4 linked regions of the Drosophila melanogaster genome follow. Changing the gene in region 4 together with the main gene of any one other region gives a genetic interaction. Each region holds a gene or a part of one and is shown on either strand. Other genes may lie near its edges. The genes, in order: Sdc, l(2)k09848, tw and Dg.

Evidence for each region.
Region 1: of Dg (region 4) and Sdc, changing one enhances a phenotype caused by changing the other (phenotypic enhancement), as found in Drosophila melanogaster (one study listed by BioGRID).
Region 2: of Dg (region 4) and l(2)k09848, changing one enhances a phenotype caused by changing the other (phenotypic enhancement), as found in Drosophila melanogaster (one study listed by BioGRID).
Region 3: of Dg (region 4) and tw, changing one enhances a phenotype caused by changing the other (phenotypic enhancement), as found in Drosophila melanogaster (one study listed by BioGRID).

Annotation. Positions count from the first base shown.
Region 1 is NT_033778.4:21,477,986-21,483,679, forward strand, and holds the start of Sdc (syndecan), read right to left. Parts: upstream 3,192-5,694; 5' UTR 3,029-3,191; intron 2,394-3,028; exon of another isoform or gene 2,372-2,393; 5' UTR 2,199-2,371; coding exon 2,106-2,198; intron 1-2,105. Other genes in the region: Sara (smad anchor for receptor activation), read left to right, coding at 4,240-5,058, 5,208-5,694. UniProt on the Drosophila melanogaster protein: Cell surface proteoglycan that bears heparan sulfate. Required for axonal and myotube guidance, is a necessary component of slit/robo signaling and is required in the slit target cells.
Region 2 is NT_033778.4:6,073,807-6,078,890, forward strand, and holds l(2)k09848 (lethal (2) k09848), read right to left. Parts: upstream 2,562-5,084; 5' UTR 2,453-2,561; coding exon 2,365-2,452; intron 2,309-2,364; coding exon 1,258-2,308; intron 1,195-1,257; coding exon 1,074-1,194; 3' UTR 665-1,073; downstream 1-664. Other genes in the region: CG7849 (uncharacterized protein), read left to right, coding at 3,170-3,299, 3,355-3,567, 3,617-4,227; SmydA-5 (SET and MYND domain containing, arthropod-specific, member 5), read right to left, coding at 5,044-5,084.
Region 3 is NC_004354.4:782,907-789,318, reverse strand, and holds tw (twisted), read right to left. Parts: upstream 4,574-6,412; 5' UTR 4,415-4,573; coding exon 4,305-4,414; intron 4,230-4,304; coding exon 4,146-4,229; intron 4,086-4,145; coding exon 4,001-4,085; intron 3,932-4,000; coding exon 3,827-3,931; intron 3,773-3,826; coding exon 3,664-3,772; intron 3,603-3,663; coding exon 2,821-3,602; intron 2,751-2,820; coding exon 2,510-2,750; intron 2,446-2,509; coding exon 2,297-2,445; intron 2,234-2,296; coding exon 1,795-2,233; intron 1,681-1,794; coding exon 1,487-1,680; 3' UTR 1,203-1,486; downstream 1-1,202. Other genes in the region: CG13360 (uncharacterized protein), read left to right, coding at 416-727, 792-1,202; fz3 (frizzled 3), read right to left, coding at 6,317-6,412. UniProt on the Drosophila melanogaster protein: Rt/POMT1 and tw/POMT2 function as a protein O-mannosyltransferase in association with each other to generate and maintain normal muscle development.
Region 4 is NT_033778.4:16,094,969-16,100,618, forward strand, and holds the start of Dg (dystroglycan), read right to left. Parts: upstream 3,597-5,650; 5' UTR 3,160-3,596; intron 1-3,159. Other genes in the region: mRpL34 (mitochondrial ribosomal protein L34), read left to right, coding at 4,025-4,047, 4,111-4,333; CG8414 (uncharacterized protein), read right to left, coding at 4,402-4,667, 4,726-5,650.

The sequences.
Region 1 (5,694 bases), 5.4 Mb from region 4:
GCCAATTTTGGCAAAAACAAGTGACAAACACCAAAAACAGGACACAAGATGGAAGGAACGGCAAAAACAAGATTACAGACTGCTTTAGATGGGTGAGAGGGGCGGGCGGGCGTTTGCGAAGGGGTAAAAGGCCATCGCACTATTTATGTGCAAGTAGTGTGTGTAGAAATTTTTCGGGCCAATAAGTCACACACCAATAAAGGCAAACAAACCAACAGGCAAGCGAACAAACAAACAAACAAACAGGCAGTGAAAGAGGCAAACACAGCCATCGAAATTGGCAATAGCCGGATGCTTTTGTTGGCAACAGACGATGCCAAAGATCATCGTGACCAGTAGCAGAAGTTGTATCAAAAACTGGCCCAGAACCCAGGCCCAAATCAAGAAGTGCTTTCCAGTGATGAGCTGTGGAAAATGCAACTGTAAACTCTTTGCGGAAAATGAAGAAAACTGGCTGTTAAATTTTTACCGTATCTCAATAGAACTTCTAATTTCGGATAATTAACTAACAAGAAAGCACGGAATGTAATAAATGTGCTAAATTACATAAAATACTTGGTGAAGATAAGAAGGAGACATTAATATTGCCCTTTGGGCTTGCGGCCTGATTCATTAGCTGGTTTTATTATCAGCCAATAAATCTTAATGTGAGTAATTGCGCTAGATAACAAGAAAAGCTGATAAGTAATCCAACTCAAGTCTTCAAATTAGTTTTTAGAATTTAAGTGAAATTATGCAGTTTAAATCCAACTTTTGCCTTCACTAATACATAAATGTCAACTTGGCAATTGTTTTAAGCAATTTACACAACTTGCCCATTAATTTAACCGGTTTTGCTAAGTTAACACCCTTTAAAAGCAGAGTTTACAATCGGTAAATCTAAATTAAACTACTCAATTAATGACAAAAATACTGTGTGATGAGTGGAAAACACCAAAGAGGCCAGTTTCGAATCTGTAAACAATTTTCAAAACAGCACATTCAGACACCAAATGATCTCATTGGGCAGAGCAGGTGATTAAAGAAAGCACGAGAGACGAATAGAAAGGAATTCGTCGGAAATTGAATCATCTCTATATCTCCGAGTAGCATTCCCCATATGAACGTGGCGGCATATCTGTTTCTGTGGCGGCACTCATCTCTCATCGCTAATGGGTAACAGTCGACAACATCGATGGATGGCTGGATGCGATGCGTTGGAGTCGATGACCATTTCGGATTTGCAGCCTTATTTGACCAGCAGCCGCCTCGTCCTCTATATCGATATCTATATCTATGTATAACTATCTATATATATATATTGCACAGTGCCGATGTCTGTGCGTCTAGTTCACTGCCATATTTATGCGTTCGCAATGCAGACGTTTTTAATGTCTTTTCTACAAGAAGCCAAGGAGTGGAGCAATGGAGCCAGAAGCTTACGGCTTACATTCATCGGGACATGGAGGCCTTTCCTCTTCATTATCTGCAGCCACAAATTGCATTCAGTGCAATGCCTTGGAGATTGACCATGCCCATGCCCGTTGCCCGTCAAGCCTCTGCCACATGGTACATGGGTATATGACACATGTATCCACCTTGGGGCTGCCGAATTTTGCATGATAAGTGCAACAACAAGAACAACAAGAACAACAGAAACAGCATTGGACAACCGCAAACCGCAAAAACAACTGAAGTGAACAAGAAATCGAACCGAACTTGGAGTTCCGAACCCTCTCAAGGTGGCGAAAATTGGGAGTTCGGATTGCTGATTGAATCTGCCTCGATTTAATTGGTAAGCAGTTACAAGCAGCAATGGGCTTACGCAACTATGCTTTTGAAAGGGGCCACTTAAATGCTCCACTTTGTGCCCAAACTGGTGGGCATGTGTATGTCGTTACAAAAGGATAGCAATGTCTAATAATGACCCATTCGTAATTAATCAAGCTGTGTGACGTATTAATATGAATAAGCATTCAATGGCCATTAAAGCCACATTAATATTATCACAAAGTCGGCTAAATTTCGGTTGGCCAGGTAAACTTGAAGTTGGCCATTGATTTTGGCTTATCTCAACGTAAACTAATAACATTTGGTAGTTTCGGGTGTAATTTTTGAGATCTTACCTGATCTTGAGCGTGGGTGGCGGCTACCAGAACTCCGATGAGAATTGCGACTAGCAATAGCGGCTCTACGGAAATCTTCTGCTTTGGCTTCATTTTCCCCGTTGGTTTCTTCTGCGGTTGCTGTTGTTGTGATTTCAGCTAATGGCTTCCAGTTTTGTTTATTGATTTAAAGATTAGAACTGGCGGCGGCACACATATATAAATATATATATTGAGCTATATATATTTCTTGCAGCTTTTTAAACTGGTTTCACACTAGAAGAACGCTGTTTAAATACACACATGAAACTATGATTATTATGATTATTTATTTTCCAGACACACACTATTCCCGATGTGTTATCAATCGAATTGCAAAACAAAAGAGATAGCGTTGGTTGGAGAGACAGGGTATTAATTAAGCATTACACACTGTAAAATTAACAACAATTTATCGTATGCGCGCGCGGCTAAAATCAAAGAAAGGAAGTAGAAGAGCGGGGGTAATAAACAAAACGTTTACGCAGAGAGAAAAACACAAAAATAAAGAGGAGACAACAGCGCAACTACTGTGTGTATTGGTGTGTGTGTGGGTGTTTTAATCGAATTCGATTTTTGTAATTTATAATTTTAAAAACATAAAATTTAACAAATTTTTCGTATAATACACTGTATTTTCCTTTTGTTTTTCTGTTTTTCCCTTTGAATCCAGAGATTTTTCAACGAAAAAAAACACGACCGCCCACCACTACAACTACACCATACGCATTCGTATTCGCTCTCCGTCTCCTCTCGCGCCCTCTCTTTCCCACTAACGCCGCTATGGCGGCTTCTTTATGTGTCTCTTTTCTCCTCTGCTTCGCCTGCCTCTTCTTTTCGTATCTTTCTGCCCGTTGTTTTGCTGCGTTTATTTTCGTTGCATTTATTTTTGCTATTTTGCGCACCTTTTCCTCTCCGTATTTACAAAATTGCACTCGCGATTCTTTTCGGGGATGTACAAATTTCTTTACACTCGAGTGCCGACCAAACAACAGACACGAAATCGCGCTAAAATCCGGACGTAACCGTGCCTTCTTCGCTCCGTAAAATTTTTTCGAATGACTTGGCCAATGTTACCAGATGCAGAAACGACTCAATTATCCAAGCTGTGCATTTCCTAAAAAATACCAATTCTTATGCTTAGCTGGGTGATGACTTAAATAGACACTCCGAAACGCGTACTCATTTAAAATTTATATATTTCTGTTACAATTTCGCGATTAAAAATGTTACTTTAACATCTTGAATTTTTTTGGTTTTATTCTTATGTTACTGTTTGTTTACATGATTTGCTTAAGATATTATTATAGAATTATTAAATGTTTGATAGGCAAATAATAATTCAATCAAATATAATTAACATTTTGAATTCATTTAAATCGGCAAGATTTCATATTTAAATGCTTATAGTATTTTTCTTGAGCTAAGCTGCGGTTACACTGATTTACACTGTTTCGGTTGCTCGTACGTTCACTGTTATTCTGTGATACTGTTAGTTCAGTTGTACAACCCAACATTTTTTTAAAAACACAGACTGGCGGCTAAAATTTCCCAGACCCAATGTTAATAGATTTGTTTGAATTCATACGCATTAATATTGAACAATTGAAGCATTCATATTCGTGTAGGACCCGACAGCTTTTACCTATTATTATTTTCAAATTTGAAAAGGTGTTACGGTTTATGTTAACATTGTAACAGTAACAGATTATAGAGAAAGATAGAACGAGATAGCATCATAAAATACTAAATGAGAAAGGTGCTAATTTGACTTAATTTTTTTTGTCTTTGCAACACTGTTTCCATGGCTATTTTTAGGCAGTTTCTTACAATGTTTTTCGTCACCGAGTTTTTGTTAATAAATTAGCGAGAAGAAAACAAAGTAAATAAGGTGATTGCAGGTGCTTAATATTGCTTATTAAAGGCGAATACGTCCTTGTTTTCCTCATTGCCTTGTTATGACTATATTCGAGGTGTGAAAAAGGTATGAATCACAAGACCGTTTTTTCTCCACATCTTTTTGTGTTGTTTTTTCTCTTTTGCGTTTTTGTGAAAATGCAAGCAGATAAACCTGGTTGGTTCAATTTTATTTAAGGTTTCTGCGGATTTGGTGGCCATGGACTTGGTGGACATTGATCAGGTTTTGGACAATCTGGAACTGAGCATTGCCGCCGATGAGCAGCTGAGTAGAAATGCAGCGGCAGCAGCAGCTGCAGGTGCAAATCCTGGCCGTTTTCTGGGCGACGGAGCAAGTGCATCGATCAGTGGAGTTGGAGCTGGCGCCGGAGTATCGGGAGCTGCGGGAGTAACACCAACACCGGCGTCTGGAAAGTCCTTTGTGGGCGTCTCTCAGGTTTTCAACAGCCTGGATGACTACAGGGAAAATGTGAAGTCCTTGCAGGTGGATGCCCAATTACCCAGCTACGACTGGCAAACGGAGGCGGAACACGAAGACGACATCCACAAGTTCAGCGAACAGGCGTCCAAAAATAACGGCCAGACGATAGTATCGTCCTCCGAATCGCTGACCACCTCATCCTGTTCCACCTTCTCGTCGGGTCCGTCGCCCGTGAGCAATGGCAGTCACTCGGAGGAGCTAGCAACGCCCCCCGAAGATGAGAAAACGAGTGAAGTTCAGGTGGAGCCAAAGGAACAGGATCAACAGCCGGAACAGGTCAAGCATGAGGACCAGCACCAAGATCAGGCTGTTCCACCGCCAACGCAATCCAAACAAACTGTAGAGGAGTTAGCAGTTGGATTGTCATCCATCTCCATCACTGCGTCCGGCACAGAATCGCAATCCCTATTGCCGGAGGAGGTCACCGCATCGTCTGTTCTCGGGCAGGTCCTCGAGGAGCTCTCGGAGGAATCGTCGCCCAGTAGAGAACCCGAAACCGAAATGACCAACGGCATAGATGTCCCATTGGCCAATTTAGTAAGTACTATTACCTTACTTTGTTTGTGTAAATGACTAATAAGTGTAGCGCATTAGTTTAAAAATATTATCAGCTTCATAAATCAATTAAGGTTATAAACTATCTTGACATATAGTATAGTTTATTAATAATGGTGTTACATTTTCAGCCAGCATCTGTTGCGGAAGTACCGGTCCCTAAAGAGATGGAGCAGCCAGTACAAACGGAAGAAGAGGATGTGGAGCTGCCACAGGAGCAGCATCCCAGGCGTAGTCAACCGTTGACCTTCTGCTCCACCATGGACGAGATCTCGGACACCGAACTGGACAGCATGCTGCAAGAGATGGATGCAGATGACAACCAGGCGGACGATCAGCAAATGCCCGACGATGAGAAATCCTGCTCCGCCTCGCCAGTGACCGAGGAGGAGTCGGTGCGGATTCTATCCGATGAGCAGGAGACAACCTCGAACGATCAGATGAACGTGGACAACTTTTCGCAGGCCTCCACTGTGGAGTTTGCTGATCTGAAGCAGCCGGAGTCCACACCAGTTACCGCGATGGGAGAAGATGTAGCCTCCAGTTTCAGCAGCACGGAATCGGATTCCCTTTCGGGCAGGAAACTAGATGGCGAAGTGGAGGTCGATCGAGAGCATG
Region 2 (5,084 bases), about 10 Mb from region 4:
CCAACTTCGATTTAATGTCTCCGTTGCTGGGCAATTTTCTGGCTTTTCGGGTCGAGTAGCTGCAATGTTCATTTAAACATTAAATTTTAAATTGAACATCTGATGGAATTAAAATTTCAACTATGTTCCTAAACTCAAAATAATGAGCATTGTTGTTTAACATATTATGAATTCAGGAGCTCTGGCTTTATTTTCTTATACTTTTAAATTTTTAAAACAAAGCCGTTGTTTATCTAGAAACGAGTGGGAAATATTATTATTATAACGCATTTATAATAATCTATATTGCATTTTTCAGGAAAACATTTAATTCTAGTTTATGAGAAATATGAGTTTATAGGCAAACATATGTATATATGTCTTCAGATACTACACACATGATATTATGTGTATCTCATATTATGTGGCCAAAACGATTTTTACAGAAGCTTACTTAAGATGAATAATACCAAACTATTGATGGCTACAATATTAATTTTTCTCCGTTGCCGTACATCTATCTAGTGTAAATAAATATTTAAACATATGTAAGATACTCCTCTAGTAGGGATAAGATACTTATACTATAAGCCCATTAAAATGCCACTAAACCACGACTCCACATAACATAAATAAAAGAAAGGGTGAACCGCAAGAGTCGTCTCTTTAAATGAGGTTGCCTCCTACATTACTGTCCCCCAAAGCCAACATTTTTGAGAATTATGTTTTTAGAAATAGGAAATAAACAACACCTTATCTTAGACTGCAGAAGCTGCAATGTTTTTACAGACCCAACACTTCATTGAAAAAATGACAGGAAGGCCACGAATCCATTTTTATGCTGGGGGTAAAACACTATAATCGCAGTCGACGTTTGTTGCTTCCATCTTTACAATATAATTTATTTTAAGTACTTGCACGCACCTCATGTTCCCTTGCTCGACAGTCAGTTCAGAATGTAATATGCAACGAAACTTTTTTAAAACAGCTCTGTGTCTACCTACGATGCCATGTTTGTTAGTTCTTTAATATAAAAACCACCGAAATCTATACTATTTTTTCTTTAATATTCTTATACGTAAATACATGTCGCTTTAACTAATCACAACTTTTTTCTTTTTGTTTTTTAAAGACTTTTCCGACGATCTTCTTTTTAGATCGGCCTTTGAAAGCTTAATATTAGACATCTCTTCCTCGGACTCATTATCGCTGTCACTGTTGGCCAAAATATAAGATTTTAGCGTATTATTAAATCACTCAATATGTAGTTAAACTTACCCCACAGTGGGCATCTGATCAAACATATCCTCGTATTCATTGTCCACAGATGTTGCGTTGACGCTCTTATTTTCACTCACGTTTCTATCCATTTGAAGGTCAGCGACCTCCTCAGGTTCTTCTGTTACTCGTGCCTCGTTTTCAAACGGTCGGATAAGAATCTTAGTGGCCTTTGATTTCACGTAGCATTGGTAGAGCAGCACTGTGGTTTCGGAATCATGGATACGAACGTATCGGTCTAGGCTTGCAGAGCTCAGAAAGCGACCGGTGGCATCTAAATGAAGGTCACTTATCCCGCCTGTGAATCCCTTGTACGTATGCACATGAGTTTTCATGCGTCGAGTGTCAAAGGCTTTTAGAGCACCCATTGTGGTACCCGTGTAAATAAAGTTTCCCTTTGCCACTAAAGTCGTAAAACTCATCCCGTGCTCCTCGCTGGCAAAACATGCAACAGGTCGACGCTGCTTACGCGTGTCATAGATGCGAACATAGCCGGTTCGCGAGCAAGTGGCCAGTACACTAGGCCCATCCACAAAGCCGATATCGCTGTCCCAAACCGGAACCTCTAGCTGCAGATAGTCGTTGGGCAAATTCTTCGAGGTGAAAATCTGCTTACCGTCGGCATTTAAATCGTAGACCTTTAGATTGTTTTGACGCTCTTTGCCGCCAGTTGCTACAATGCTTTTGACTTGGGCGCACTGGCGCAGGTGGTCCATTTGGTCACCCGTGGCGATAACCACGGGCTCGGACTCGTCGTTCGCCTCTAGCTCCAGGCTCTGTATCTCTCCGTTGCCAATGCCGGCAATAAGCTTGTCATTGTATCGGGCCAGACCAACAATTGGCGCAGCATTGAAGGATACTGTGTTCCTAGAATGTCCCTTTTCTGTGAAGGAGTGAATCTCCACGGCGTCCTTGGCCCGGCCTAGAAGGATCTCCGTCTGATCGTCGTTGCCAAAGGCCAGAGATGTGACGCGGGAATCCTTATCCAGGGCGCACAGATCACTCAGGTTGCTTTGTCCATAAGGGGTCTTCTCGGATGCAGGCACCAGGTCTAAAAAGTTGAAGTCATTATTATTATGCTGTTCGATAAAGAACAAGCGGACGTACGTTTAAAGGAGCCCGTGTGTGTTCCCACATACAGTTCGTGCTTCGCCGTGTAGTTTACATGTTTGGTATTTGCAGTAGTCCACTTCATCTCAAGACGCGGTTTCTCTCAATACTTGCGATTAAAACGTGAATTAATGGTATGCGGCTATACAAATTCGTGCGGTCAAAACAAATCCTACACGTGCAATAGAGATGTAAAAGACATATGCTTAATAATCGATGTTATCGTTTATATCGATATCTAACGGCCACCGATATTTTAATAACATTTAGGGTAGTCACTAGGCTTCAGTTTGCTGTTTACCAGTTTAAAACATTTTTTTCGTTGAAAACCACTTCTCTTGTGAGAATATAGTGATACGCATAAGACTTTATTTGATTATAACTTCTTTAAGTGCAGTTTTGTTGTCATTTTAAATGCAAGCAAATAGTATGCAAGCCACAGTGAGAATATTCCCGTGAAATTTGTAAAATTTATAGAAAATTTTAGCCCAATCGGATTTGTTTCTTGTTTTTTCGTGCGGTGGACTTAATTCTTGTTTTGCAGTGATACAAGCATGTTTTTTTGCGGGTATAAAGACCACAACGTTTTGAGAATTATTTCCAACTAAACTTTTTTTTAGAAAATTAAAGAGATATTTGAAAACAACATTTTATATGTAAATTTTATAAATTAAGTTTCAAGTGCATGTCTATACCCTATTCAGTACTGGGCAGCACATGTGCTCAGCTGTTCGTGTGTGTTCACCAACACTGTCATGTGAATTTAAAAACAAATAGCGCACATACGTAACTTAAAGCAGAAATGGCTCTCACCAAAGTTTATGATGCCGCCACAGTGTTTAAGCACATGAATGGCATTCTAAATGTGTACAAGCCATCCGGTATGAAGGTGAAACACGTGCGCAATGCTATTCTGAGCAACATTTGCAAGGGTAAGCCTAGCGCCATTTAAAGAACAAATTGAAATTAAAAACAGATCTGCAAAAGGACTCAACGAAATGGAGCAGAGGAAACCACGCAAGTTGCAAGAGAACATTAGCCTCCTGGGCACAGGCACTGCAGCAGATCACGTACTACATAACATAGGAGAGCAGACGGATCTATCCGACCACCTTCTGTCCACCGGACCGCGGTACCTTCCGCGAGACTTGATCTGCACCACAGTGTCCAGCCTGGGCGATCACACCAGCGGAGTCCTGCGTAAGTCATGTAAAACATTTTAAATCCAGATCTAACCATACTTTTGTAGTCTTTGGGATCAACAGGGGAGCAGGCCAGTCTAGTTCTATTCGGAAAAATCGACCAGTGCGGGTCTACCATCTAATCGGGCACCTAGGCATCGCAACCGAAAATAACCTACCAGACTCACGGGTCATAATGCGCTCCAATCACCGACACGTGTCCGCAGACAGGATCAGCAGTCTAGCCGCCTCCATGCAGGCATCCCATCAGCGTAAGATGTTTGAGCTCTGCGGTGTCGATTTGCAGACCCAGGAGGCCTATGAACTGGCCTGTAGGGGTCTCCTACGCCCAGCGGACGACAGTCAGCCCGTCGTCTACGGCATTAAGCTGATTCACTTCGATCGACCGCACTTCACCCTGGAACTGCACGCCATCAACGAGACGCAGGAGTACTTAGCTACGCTAGTGCACGATATGGCTTTGGACCTCCGAACCGTGGCGCACTGCTCCCAACTACGCTGCGTGCGGCATGCCCATTTTGATGTGACAGATAGTCTGCTCAGACACGCCTGGCACTTGCCAGGAATTATCAAGAACCTCCGTCAACAACGTGACATCCTGAGGGCGCATCCACAGCTTCTGCGACAACAGCGAGTGGAACTGCGAGCTACAGATTAATTTAGGAATTCATTGTAATTGAATATAGTCAAATAAATATAGGCAGATAAACTATAAAGCAGTCAATCAGGTCAATAATTCTGGTAATAATTTTTGATAAGAATATGCAGAATATCTGCTTATTTAAGTCAGCATAGTTTATTGACGGTTACAGTTCAAAATAGGTCATTTATAAAAAAAAAACGTAAGACTCTAGTTTAGTAAAAGTAAGATGTTTAAAACGTGATCTTATTAGAAGCGGTAGCCAAAAACCATACATTTCACAAATTTTTTTTGAATTAATTCTAAAAACAAGGGAGATTGCTATAGTTGATAACCTCGACCCATCGAAGGGTCAGTTGTTCCAAATTATGTAAACTAATTTCTTCGGTGCTCAATATCATTAAGAAGTGATTTTTTTCAGGAAATGTGTCATATACCAAACCTTGTGAATTTCAATGGTCACGCAGTTGGTAATTTAAAGAGAAATAGGTAAAATTTGAAAATAAGCTATATAATTATAGCTCTACAAAGACATTTAGGTTCAGTAGGAAATAGATATTTATAGCTGTTTTCCCGGTTATCTAGCGGATTTTTCCAAAGAATCAAAAATAGCGCACATGTTTTTATTTTAAAATCTTATTTTATATATATCTTATAGTTTTTATAAGCAACCCAACAAAAATGTGTATTTTGAAAAGATTCCTAGTCTCGTTTTACAATTTCTTTTGAACGGCGCTTCATTGGATTTTAACAAAGTGTGATTTGTTTTAACAGCACCTAACAGCATCCGGTGTTCAAAATGTTCACTTGTACCACTTTCGCCGATCTAGAAAATTATTTTGTATTGGCTTCGTGATCTTGATTATAGGCAAGAG
Region 3 (6,412 bases), on a different chromosome or scaffold from region 4:
AATGAATGGTTTTTCGTTTCCCTCGCATTGATATGTTAATCATCCGCAATTCATGCGATTTTATTTTAATAATGGAATTATTAATGGGCATTACCTAACAAAAAAAAAAAAAAAAAAAAAATGCTCCCTATCAATGGGATTTTTGCTGATCAAGTGATTACGTCAAATACAGTCAAATAAATGATTAATTATACGTTTACAGTGAACCTTTGAAATATATGTATAACATGGTTAATAACTATACTCATTATGTACTTTTCAGTTTATAAAAACACATTTAACAATCAAACATTTTCACTCTCTCTTTGCCATCTTAAAGCAAATATCAAATCAAAATCAGAAATGGGTAAAGTTGGCAGGAATTTCTTAGTTTTTTGATTTCATGTTTATTTTATTGGCTTGGACTCTCTTGCAGGAACCAAGTGTTCGCGAGCACTTCACCACCGGTATGCTGGACGAAAACTACATCAGAACCAACGAGCGATTCATCAACTTCATGACCCTCCAGTGCCGGACTTTGGCCAACGTCGTCTCCAAGTGGCCCGGCTACGAGCTGCTGGCAGAGAAGCTGCACCGCCACTGCGACAACATCAAGGAGAACCTCGTGACCACCGGGCGGCCGCTGCCCGGAGAGATCACTGTGCTTAATCATGGCGACCTGTGGGTAAACAACTTCATGTATAAATACGACGACGAGCAGCCCACGAAGCCCATCGATGCCATATTCGTGAGTGTCTAGACTCCATCATTTGTAATTCTGGACACTAACTGTGGGCTCTATGCAATTCCAGGTGGATTTCCAAAACAGCTTCTTCGGCAGCCCAGGCTGCGACATAAACTTCTTCCTAAACAGCAGCGTCCAGCTGGACGTGTTGATCCACCGGCGCGAGTTCCTTATCCAGACGTACTACGCTTCCCTAAGGGACAGCCTGGAGCGGATGCACTCGGCGTTTGTGCCCAGCTACGCGGATATTCAACAGGAGATCCGGGCCAGAGAACTGTACGGCTTCTTCTCGTCCTACGCCTTTCTGCCGATGGTGACCATGAAGAAGGAGGACTCGTACGACATCAGCATAGAGGCGCTGTCGGACCAGGACTTCGCCAAGAAGAAGGTCCAGCTGATGTTCTCCTCCAATCCCCGCACCACGGACACCTTGCGCTACGCCCTGCGTCGCTTCGATGACCTGGGAATATTCGATTGATGGGTAGCGCAGGACCGTGGGACACGGATCCCCAGATCCTTTAATACTTAGGCTTATCGAGAATTTTGCTACTTTTACCAATGGTTTTTTTTTTGTTTTTGTTTGTAAACAGTACGTAGAGTTAAGCGTATTCTATAAATTAATCATTATACCTACTCATAAATAATAAATAGTTGCCTATTTGGGGTTTTCATTTTCACAAAGATGCATATGAGTTATGTTCTGGAGCTTTAAAGGATTATTAAAACACTTATTGAACCACAAAATGCTTAAGGTTATATTAACTAGAACTCCCAGGTAGAAAGCCACTTGAGATTGTACATTGTAGAGTTCGGCTCGTTGGCTAGAGGACCACTCATTCCGTAAGCAAGTGGCGAGAAGGCGGCAAAACTATACACCAGGATCGAGAGAACCAGTCCGAGGATAACGTGGTGAATCCATTTGGGCAGAACCCTCAAAATGTAGTTGTACATAACGCCTGTGTGAAATTATTTAAAAACAGTTTAAAATGACAAACGGTAAAGGAATTATTAGGCACTATTAATTTGCTTTTAAACAAAGATGAAGTTTGACACAGCTTCTATCTGCTTACCCGTCAGCAAGGAGTTGAAGATCAAGGCCGGAAAATAGTGGTGGAAGTAGAGCACCCGTCCCATCGCCCAGAAGGGCAAATAGTGGAGCATCCAGCCCAGAAAAAGCCAGGCGGCCGCCCTTAAGGACTGCGCCGGGTTGGGTGCCTCCGGGGACCCACTGGGAACTGCCTTTGGGACTATCTCCTTCGCCGGAGTACAACAACTGCAGATGTCCGTGGTGGAGTGCTCACTCTCCTCGTCCTGGGCCACTGTTTCCGAATCGGGAACTTGGGCTTGATTTTGGGCCGCCGATCGGGCGAAGCCAGCTCTTCTTTGCTGAACAACTGCGTTGCACAGGAAAACCGTGACGAAAAGGGCCAGGAAAACCAGATTACTCCACCAAATCAACGGGTTTCCCAGCAAGTAGATGCGGTAACTGCTGCCGGAGAAGAACTGGCCCTAGATAGGAAAGGAAAGTGTTACTTCTTCTGACCGAATATTGTTTGTTTCTGCTATGCTCACCCTGTAGTTGATTGGCCACTGCCAGGGTCTGCTGGTGACCTCGCCTTCTTTGGGCTTGAGTCCTGCGTTTCCCTGCAGCATTACGGCGTGGGATTCGAGGAAGCGGGCAAAGAAGCCGGGCGCATACACGCTAAAGCTTACACTGGGCACTGTACGGAAATAAATTGACAGTAATTGAATATTAGCCGAAGTATTTTAGTAGTATTTACTTACTCAACTTGTGCTCGTTGTCCTCGACGTTCCACTGCGAGTTCTTGTCGCGCACGTTGGGATTGCATGACACCTCCTGCTGTTCGAACCCCCATTTCGGTAGCTGCTTCCCACTGGAGGTCAGGGCGCAGTTCTGCAGCAGGTGGATGAACTTGAGACGGGAAGTGACCGTGTGTACCGTTTCGTTGACCTTGCCGCCCACAATCAACACGCGCCAGACGTCGTTGGCATCGCCTAGTCCCAACTGAAGTTCGTCGAAGTATACCACATGAGCTTTCCCAGCCAATTAAAATGTAAAATATGTTGGTGCTCACCTCGCCATAGCCTGTGACCTGCAAATGCTTCTTGGTCATGGGTGCAGGTTCGTTGTGGGAATGCAGATTTCTCCTGGTCGCCATGTGAGTCAGGCGGACGAGGTCCCCGTGCCGGAGGATCTGTACCTTGCCCTTTGGTGGACCCGGCTTGTTGTGCGGCCTGATTAGCCACTTGTTGTTCTCGTCCTTGTGGGTGTAAGTGGTAACCTGCTGCTGCCTAGCGCCAGATCCCTTGGGATACAGGTGATGATGCGAGTGCAGGTAGCCTCCGCCCGTCTTGTGGTTCTTGATTGTCACTAGCGATCCGTAGGCGACATCTCTGGGCATGCTGGCATTATATAGGGAGTTGCCGATCAGCCTGGACTGAAAGGCCGAACTATAGAACCCATCTCCGTTGCCGCTGCGGTTAAGGACACTCAGGTGAATGTAGAAGAACAGGATGTAGAGGAGAACGGGCCAGACAATCAGGGTGATGGCCCGGCAGGCCAACTGCTTAACAGTCTCCAAAATGGGCTGCCCCAAATCGCCGAGGATGAGCCACAGTTCAGTGGCTGTATGCAGACCGACCAGCAGCACCACAAACAGACCCACGAACTTAACGCTAATCGTGCAGGACAACATGGTGCCGGTGAGGAAGAGCCAGAGCCACCAGCGTAGACCGTACGATCCTCCGGAGGCCGTGGACTTCGATACCTTGACCATGCCCCAGACGGAGGCCATCATGAAGAATAACAGAATGGGGTCCAGCAGGATGTACTGGTTCAGGGTCAAGAGCCCCACATCTGAACGTAGAAAATAGCAGGCAAATAAGAGGGTTAACTTAGCACACGTCTTTACACTAACCGAAAATAAGATAGGCAGCCGCAAGCAAGGCAGCTTCATGGGAACGGGTCAAATCGTAGACAGTATCGAATCCCATGGGCATGATCAGAGCTCCCAGTGTGGTGCAGAACTGTGGGTGAGATCAATTAACAGGACGCAGTTCACAGGTATTGTAATCACGTACATATCGCATGCCCTGGTACCGCGTCTCGTTGTACTTGTCACCTGGCTTCTCAAACGGAAACGTTCCATTGTAGCCCGTCAAGTAGCCAGAGAGGCCAATGAGCATCTATTTATTTGGAAACATTTTAAATTGGTCAGCCTAATTTGCTTGAGTATTGTATTATCAGTATCCCACCTTTCCTAGCGGTGGATGGACATCGAAAAAAAAGGTTCTGTTAATGTACCAACTGCCCATCTTGCCAAAGTGCGTCTCATCCCAACTGGAAAAAAGATAAGTAACTATTAGTCCGGCGAGTCACTTTCAAAAGTGGTTCAGTTACCATATGTGATCCGGCTCGGTGACCTTATAGAAGCGGGTGGCGAAGGTCACCAGGAAGACGGTAGCCAGGAGAAGCCACCAGTTCCTGTTTTTGGGGTTTTTGGAGGAATTTGAGGAATTTCACTAAAATTCTCTTTTGTTTTGATCTCGCTGCGCTTACCAATTGGCCTCTTTGCTAGATGTGGGTGCTGTTCTAGGTGCGTTTTGGGCCACATCTTTGACAGATCCTCGTCTGGGGCACTTGGGGGTTTTAACAACACTTGCTGCCATTATATAGTTTTGGCCGTTTAAATTGAAACACTTCTTAGAGTGGTGCACACGTCAACAACAACCAACCGATCATGCTTTCTCTTTGGTCGACCGACTCGATCTTTCTTCGTTCTTCTTTCTTGGCCAAAACCGGTCTGCAGGTCTGCAACTTGGCTTTGGCTGTGCTTTGACCAAACAAATCGGGCTTACAATATCGGGGAGCTGCTTTCGCCCTCGCTATCGATAAATCTGGGCCAAGACGGGTCTTTAACCAGTTTGTTACCAGACTTTCTGTAACATCTACAGCGAATCTGGTGGATACAGGAGGTACTAAGCAGTAGCAATGCTCTTAAAAGTATGCAATATTTTCAAAAGTGAAATAGTAAAAATATCTTTACAGATATCTACATCGCAAAAATGCTGTAAAATATATATATTTTCTGGGATTTTATGGAAAATGCATTCAGATATTACCTACATATTTGTTTTCGTGGCCAGGATAACAACACTGGCTATGCTTACTATGGCTATGCTCTTGAACGTCTGGCTTAAAGGCCTATTAGATGTTTAGGCGACTTCATCCAGGAATGGGACCCTCGTATAATAATATTTTTTTTGCCCAGAAAGACGAGAATGAAAATGACGATACAGACCAAGCCAGACCAGGCTTGGAATACCTTTCCCCCATCCACGCCCGCCTCATCTCGTCTCTGTCTTGGTTTCCGTTCCTTGCCCTTCGCTGCTCCAAATGCCCTGGCCTCCGTCCCTTCGTCTGGGAACTTGGGGCCGCATTAATCGCTTTGATCTTGGCGCACAAGAGTTAATTGCACGCTTGCTGCACAGTTGCTGTTGCTATTGTGCCGATGTTGCCGCAGTGTTTCGGCTTGTTGCCTGCCACGACGGCCGGCAATTTGTAGGATGGATTCGTTGTTCGTTGGAGCGGCATGCGGTGTGGCAGCTTCAATCAAATTAATTGTGCCTCGGTTGATACCAATTACCCGTGTTCTGACGCAGCCCAAACATCCAGAGAGCAGGGAAAGTGTCTGTGCTAAAGAATCGGGTGTTAGGGTGTCACATCCCATCTAAGTAAAAAAAACAATCTTAGTTTTTAGGTAATTTACTCATTTATAAACATGACCACCATGTTTGATAATTTTAGGTCCACCATATTTCGCTTGGTCCGAATACAGGTGGTACTTGAATGGCATACGAAAGAGTTGGAGTGTCCGCAAAATGTACAAACATATACAGGGGAAAGAATACGCAGAGCCACAGGTGGAGGTGCGGCGGAGCATAACCAGTCGGCAACCGATGGCAACCAACGTCGAGATCTGTCATTAAGCATTTTCCTTCTAATTGCCACGGCTCGGAGCGCAGACAATAGCATAACTAAATTAGCCATTTTGTTGCAATTAAGCGATCCGTCGGAATTCCTACCCACCATCCATCCCTTAGCTCATTGCAGCGACAACTTTTGCATCATTAACCCACATATAGTAAATGGGGCTTGCGAAGTGTTGAGCCTTGTGGCTGACGGAGATGCCGTGAGAACGCGCAGTGGTTATCTTGCTTATCTTGAGTTCCTAATGCATTTGGAGCCCACTTTGAACGACATTCATTTTTGATTCATATAATTTATTTACAATTCATTCTACTATGAATAAAACGTTTTACTATTTACAGGCTTAGGACTAGCTAGAGAACTACTAATAAAAACTGGAGGTGATGGGTACTTGGGGGAGCGCGATCTATAAAGCTATTAACACATTTCAGTTTCTCCTTTTCGGGCTTAAAAACTAGGCGTATGTTCGATCATGTTCTCTCACCGCGGCTCAAAGCCTTCTATGATGTATGTATATGTTATATGTACAATAGTAGAGTTCGAGATTTTTCTAGAGCCCCCCATGTGGGCTAAAAGATCCCCTAAACTCTCGATTGGTTGGGGTTGTAGACGGGCACATTGTGAAAACTAATACCAGCATATAGAGGAGTGATTCCCCCCGTGGGCAGCATGGATTT
Region 4 (5,650 bases):
GAGCACCTACAGGTTGGGGGCATTGCTCCACTCCCCAGTACTTTGCACCACACTGGCCAAAAAATTGAAATTGAAACTCTTTTATGACCAATACAAACTACTTTACATGAACTGCAGTCGAAGTTAACTTTTCTAATGATAGATGGAGCTTCGAGATATGCAAATTCAAAAGTGCACACTTTTCTCGCAGTGCACTGAGTTGCGGAGTAAGAGCAAAAATATTTTTGCGTGGGGCCGATGTCTGCAACTAATACTTGATGCTTGGGGACTTGAGGTCTTGGGCAGGGCATCCGCCAAAAAGGGGATACGGGGCGCGACGGACAGGCAGGGCATCCGCCATTTTGGCCAAATGGTGGCGGCGTTGGAGTTGCAACAGTTGTTGTTGCTGCTGCTGCTGCTGCGTTGGGAGCCATGCGCGCAGTTGGCGATCAAATGAGCTCCAAGATCTGTTGCATGCATAATGATGCCGTCTGTTGTATATCTGCTCGCTGTCGCCGATGTTTCGTTAAATTGTCTATGTGTGCTTGCAGTAAGCACAGCAACAATAACAGAAAACAACAGCAACACAGGCCAATGCTAAAAACAAACATAAAACAACGCAATGCCATAAAGTTCAAGCCAACAACACACACAGCGCCACTTACTCACTCTCGCACACAAATAAATAAGCAAGCGAACACAGATACTAAGGCGTTGATGAAGACGACAGACAGCAGATACAAGAGCAACAACAACAAACAGCGATCCAGTGCCGGCTGGTTGGAGAATTGGACAGCTGCCGCCATGATAGATACGATACTCGCACTCCGGCCGGCCTGGCCAAGTATTTCTGTACTTTAACGGGCCACGGAGAAGCGCAAAGCAAAAAGAATTGGTACTAAGAAAAACAAGGCGACTGAACAACGAAGTGTTGATCCCCTTACTAACTAACTAACGAATACAAAAAATGAAATTTAACATCAGTTACAGTTTATAGAAAAGGTAAACTTTACATAAGAATGCATAACCTAACTGGTTAAAACAAACATAATTCAATGAATTCTTGTTATCTTTTGCTGGCAAATTGGTGCCTAAACTTCGGCTGTCTCTCCTTCAGCACAAGTTGTTTTCATATTATCATATTATCATAATCAAATTTCAAAGTTTATATCTATATAATCATTTAAGTATTATTCTTGCATTTAATTTGCTAAAATTAAAAACAAAAGGCTTTCAATCTATCAATCCAATTAATTGCGTGGGTGCCACAAAGAGAACTGCAAAAGTGAAAAGTTAAGTTTTGAGTCATCAAAAGCGAGAATGTAAGCCCAATGACGAGCCATCATCCAGATGCGAGGCCAAAACAGACATTCTTATAATTAGTGAAAAAAGCGGGCGAAAAAAGGGTCTGCACTTGACACGCAACCCGGGAAATGGTCGCTCACTCCCACACAAGCGCTAATAGGACAATCCCAACGCCCCCCCCCTCCACCGGGACCGCCCTCATCGTTGGGCCAGCAACAAATTGACGCAATCTGATTAAAAACGCATCAAAATAAAACTAACTGGTGGCGAAGGGAAACCGGGGAAATGGGCGAAGGGACAACAACCTATGCTAAATGCTCGTAAAAGTAATTTTGTTGGCCCACACACACAAACACACTTGCACGCAACACACACACGTGCAGAGACACTCACACAGAGACACGTAATTTAGGGGTGCTGGCGGAAGTGAAAAGGAAACATCTAGTCCTCTTAGAACAGCCGACGTCCCCTTTTTGCGTACGCAGCATCCGCAAAAGAGTGCCGAAAACTGAGTGGTAATGCCGGGGATTTTCTACAGTAGGCACTCGCGAATTGGGAAAAACGTATGATAAACCAAGCCAGTTTAAACAGTGGCAAGCATAAAGTTAGTTAAAGCCTATGCCGAAATATTATATAATATAATATGTACATAAATAGATAATATAACACATTCAATCAAAAACCAACGTTGATGAGTTAATCCGCTGAATGCTAAATATTGTGTCAATAAGCTATTGTACGTATTGTTCACACATTCTATGCGTTCTTGCGTCTGAAAATGTCGACCTATTTATTTTTATGGTAGTAATAAGTTTTTATTGCTTTGCCAACAATTGTATATTATGTACATGTGAGTTTTACGTTTTAAAGCAGAAATTGTTTACTCACATTAAAACAAATCTAGAAGAACCTGAAATGTAACTCATTTAAAAAATTTCATAAATGGTCGCAGTAAATGCAGTTTTAAACTTAACTTCATTTGGTTCCTGCGCACCAGGTTCCACTGTACTGAAACATTGGTGCCGTGTATGGCCAAAAATCACAGTGCGGGCGGAAACTGAGTGCCGTCATCAAAATACGCACACACACACACACACGTTGGAGAACACGGGGAGAGAGCAAGATAGAAAGGGGCAGACAGATGAAATCAGAAAAAGGAGAAAAGGAGGAGGAGGCAAACGGAGTGACAGCTGCCCCATTCGCATCCGGGAAAAAGTGGCCGCTAAAATCATTTGTTAAGTGCGGTGGCCATGACAACTGGACCAAAAGTCGGAGGGTCCTGCTTCTGGTCAGATTTTTCAATTTTTACATCTCCCTCTGTGCAGAACGCACACACATATGCAAGTATTTCCATCATCATCCACACCAGCAAACAAAACAAGAACAACAGCCGTGTGCAGCCTCCTGCCCCCTTTTACACGCAGAGAAATAAAGTATAGCAAGTCGAAATTTAGTCGAAATACATTTTAATGCAATTTTATTCATCCTCTTGCTTGATAAGGCTAAATAATATGCTTTTATAAAAACAGACTGCGTTCGAGACCCTCAGCGAAACTTTTTCTAACGAGAATAACTTTTCGATATCAAAATAATTTATTCATTATTTCGTCCAGTGCATCCATTTCGCTTCCGTGTTTCGAAATTCAATTTATGTATACTTTATGGAGCCGTAGCCGGCTCCCCAAGCTCCATTTCGCCCCCCCTTTTGCCCAGTGAGGCGGAGAAAATTGTAAGTTCAGGAAAATCGATTTTCTTGTTGTATTTTTTCTGCCGTTCTTCATTATTTTTTTGGCTGGCTGCAGACATGGCTAATTGGAGTTCTTTTTGTTGGCATCAGCTCGTGAACTGAATGCTGCAGTTTGCATCTTTACTCACCTCGTTGCGCTATTTTTAATGCACCGGATTCGGATTCGGATTGCCTGTTTCGGGGATTCGATTCGGGACTCTCCTGCCCCACTTCCCCACTCTTTTGGCCAAAGAAATTGCGTCCAGAGAGCGACACTCACACTCGCACGCACAAACACACGCACGTACACACGACTGCAGCAATGTTTCTCTTCAATTGCAGAGCGCTTTTTTATTCTATTTTCACGAGCTCACTCGCGATTTTACGCACTTCTTTTCGGCGACAACTATTTCGTTTGAGATAGTAATTCCGTGGAGTAATTATGCTTCACATGCTGCCTGTTTTCCGAACACTTTTCACTTTTCTTTCTTTTCTATGCAGCTGAATGGGAGCAGAAAACAAACGCAGCCCTAACGGCACCGAGTTGTGGTTGTTGTTGGCTAGGCAGTGTGACCGCAACTGAGGGTGGAAAAGAATCCGTTGCGGAAAATATACCGAAATGTATCTTGTGGATTCATTTGCAACAGCTGCGCTGCCACAACCATCGTGGGTAGCTAGAGATGGCACAATACCAATTCGATATATGTACAACCAAACATATTCATTCCATATTTAAAAAGTTTTCGGTTACTTTCAGATCCATTCAATTAAAAGCGGTTTATCTAATTTGTCCCCATATGGTGGTTTTCCATTTGACCAATATTATGACGATTTTTTAGATTAATTGTATGATTCCATCTATATGTAATGCATTTTACATGCTAACGTAAAATAGCATGCAGCTAAGTTCGAAATTTCGAACCCAATGGTCTGGCAACGCCAAAGCGGCTTACCGGCTGTTCAGGCGGTATTATTCGGACTTCATGCGGTCATACTAACTGGAAATTACTTAACATGCTGCAAGGAATGCTCCAAAGGCGAGTAAATAATGAATATACCATTTATTTTGAGTGGTATAATAACATACATTGGCATTGCAGGACCTGCCTGGCGGTTGTCAGCACCGCACAAACTCTAATCGTGCGGGATAAGCACGCTTTCAACCGGGCGGTGCTGAAACCGAAAGTACGCTGCCATTTTCCGAAACCCATGGAGGTGAAGAGAATTAATGTCCACGGCTGGAATGCTAGGATGTCGACGCCTGAGGGACGACGAGTGCTGATGAACCGGATCCTCAAAGGACGTCACAATTTGTCACACTAGCCTTGTGTTAATAAACCTAACTTTATTTACAATGTTATCCGATTGCGATTGCTACAGTAAGCTCAGTTTTAGTTTCGTTGATTCGCTGGTACTCCCAGAAAGGCTGGCGCTCGATGGTAGATCTGCTGAATACTCTTCGAAGATTTCGAATCGTCAAGGATGAACACGAAGGGCACACTGCTGGACACACCTTGGCCCTGATCCCGAAGGAAGCCCTGCGGCAGGGACTGTTCCCCGCCGAGGATAAGACAATCCACCAGGGACATCTTTTGTAGCGGCATTGCTGGCACCAGGTATAACTCCTTGCGCTCGTAGTCGATGGCGCGAACCACACCTAAAAGAATTTTGGAATTCAATTAATAAGCCACAAAAGAACGTGAATGTGTACAAACCTATTCCCAAACATTGGGGCAGACCTGCTCCGTGATGGCACAGATATACTACATTAGCCTCCATGCCTCGAATCAGTTCTTCGCGCGAGTAATTCTTGCTGGTGGGATGCAGGATTTTCAGGGATTCCAAAGACACTCCCAACGGCTGGCAGTCTGTAAGAGATTTGGCATTTCCAGTCAGGCAGGAACTGAGACGTGCCAGAAGATTGGAGTACCGCATGTCCTTGGCGCTGAGACTCCAAGTTCCTTTTTCCCTTGCAGGCACTGCACTTATCAGCTTATGGAGTGTGTATTTTGGTATTTCATTGATCTTGAACTCCTCCGCAGAGTATATAATTGGTTTTATCTGCGACAGACTGTTCCGGTCGAGGACAGAATCAAAGTTATTGATTGGAATGGGACTGGCAATCTGTACAAGATCCGTGGGACGAATGCGATCCACCAGCAGAGCCATCAATTCGATACCAAATCCCTTATTATAGCCCATCGTATTTATCAGCCAAGGAATATTTGAATACTTGGCATCGTTCTGAATGTTTTGGACTAGCTGAATAACTGCTCGGGCATACTGCTCTGCGCACAAGACAATGTTGGTGTGGCCCACGACAATGGCATGTTCCGGCTGCCTGTTGTACAGGAAGCCCGGTCCCAGAAGGGGCTCATCAATTACGGTGCAAGAAATAGTCTGGGGTACAAATATTTCCGGCTGACCAATGTCCAGGTCGATGAGCAGCATGGATGGGAATTGACCCAGATTTCGGTTGATGAGGTAACGCAATAAACTAGACTTTCCGACGCCCTTACCACCGGCTACGATTATTCGGCTCGTTGCATGCATTTGTAACTTATTCCAAACCTGCGGAACTTGGAGAGTGCGACTTTGATCGCTCGATTGAATCAGACAGTGCAACAGGGTTTCACTTTG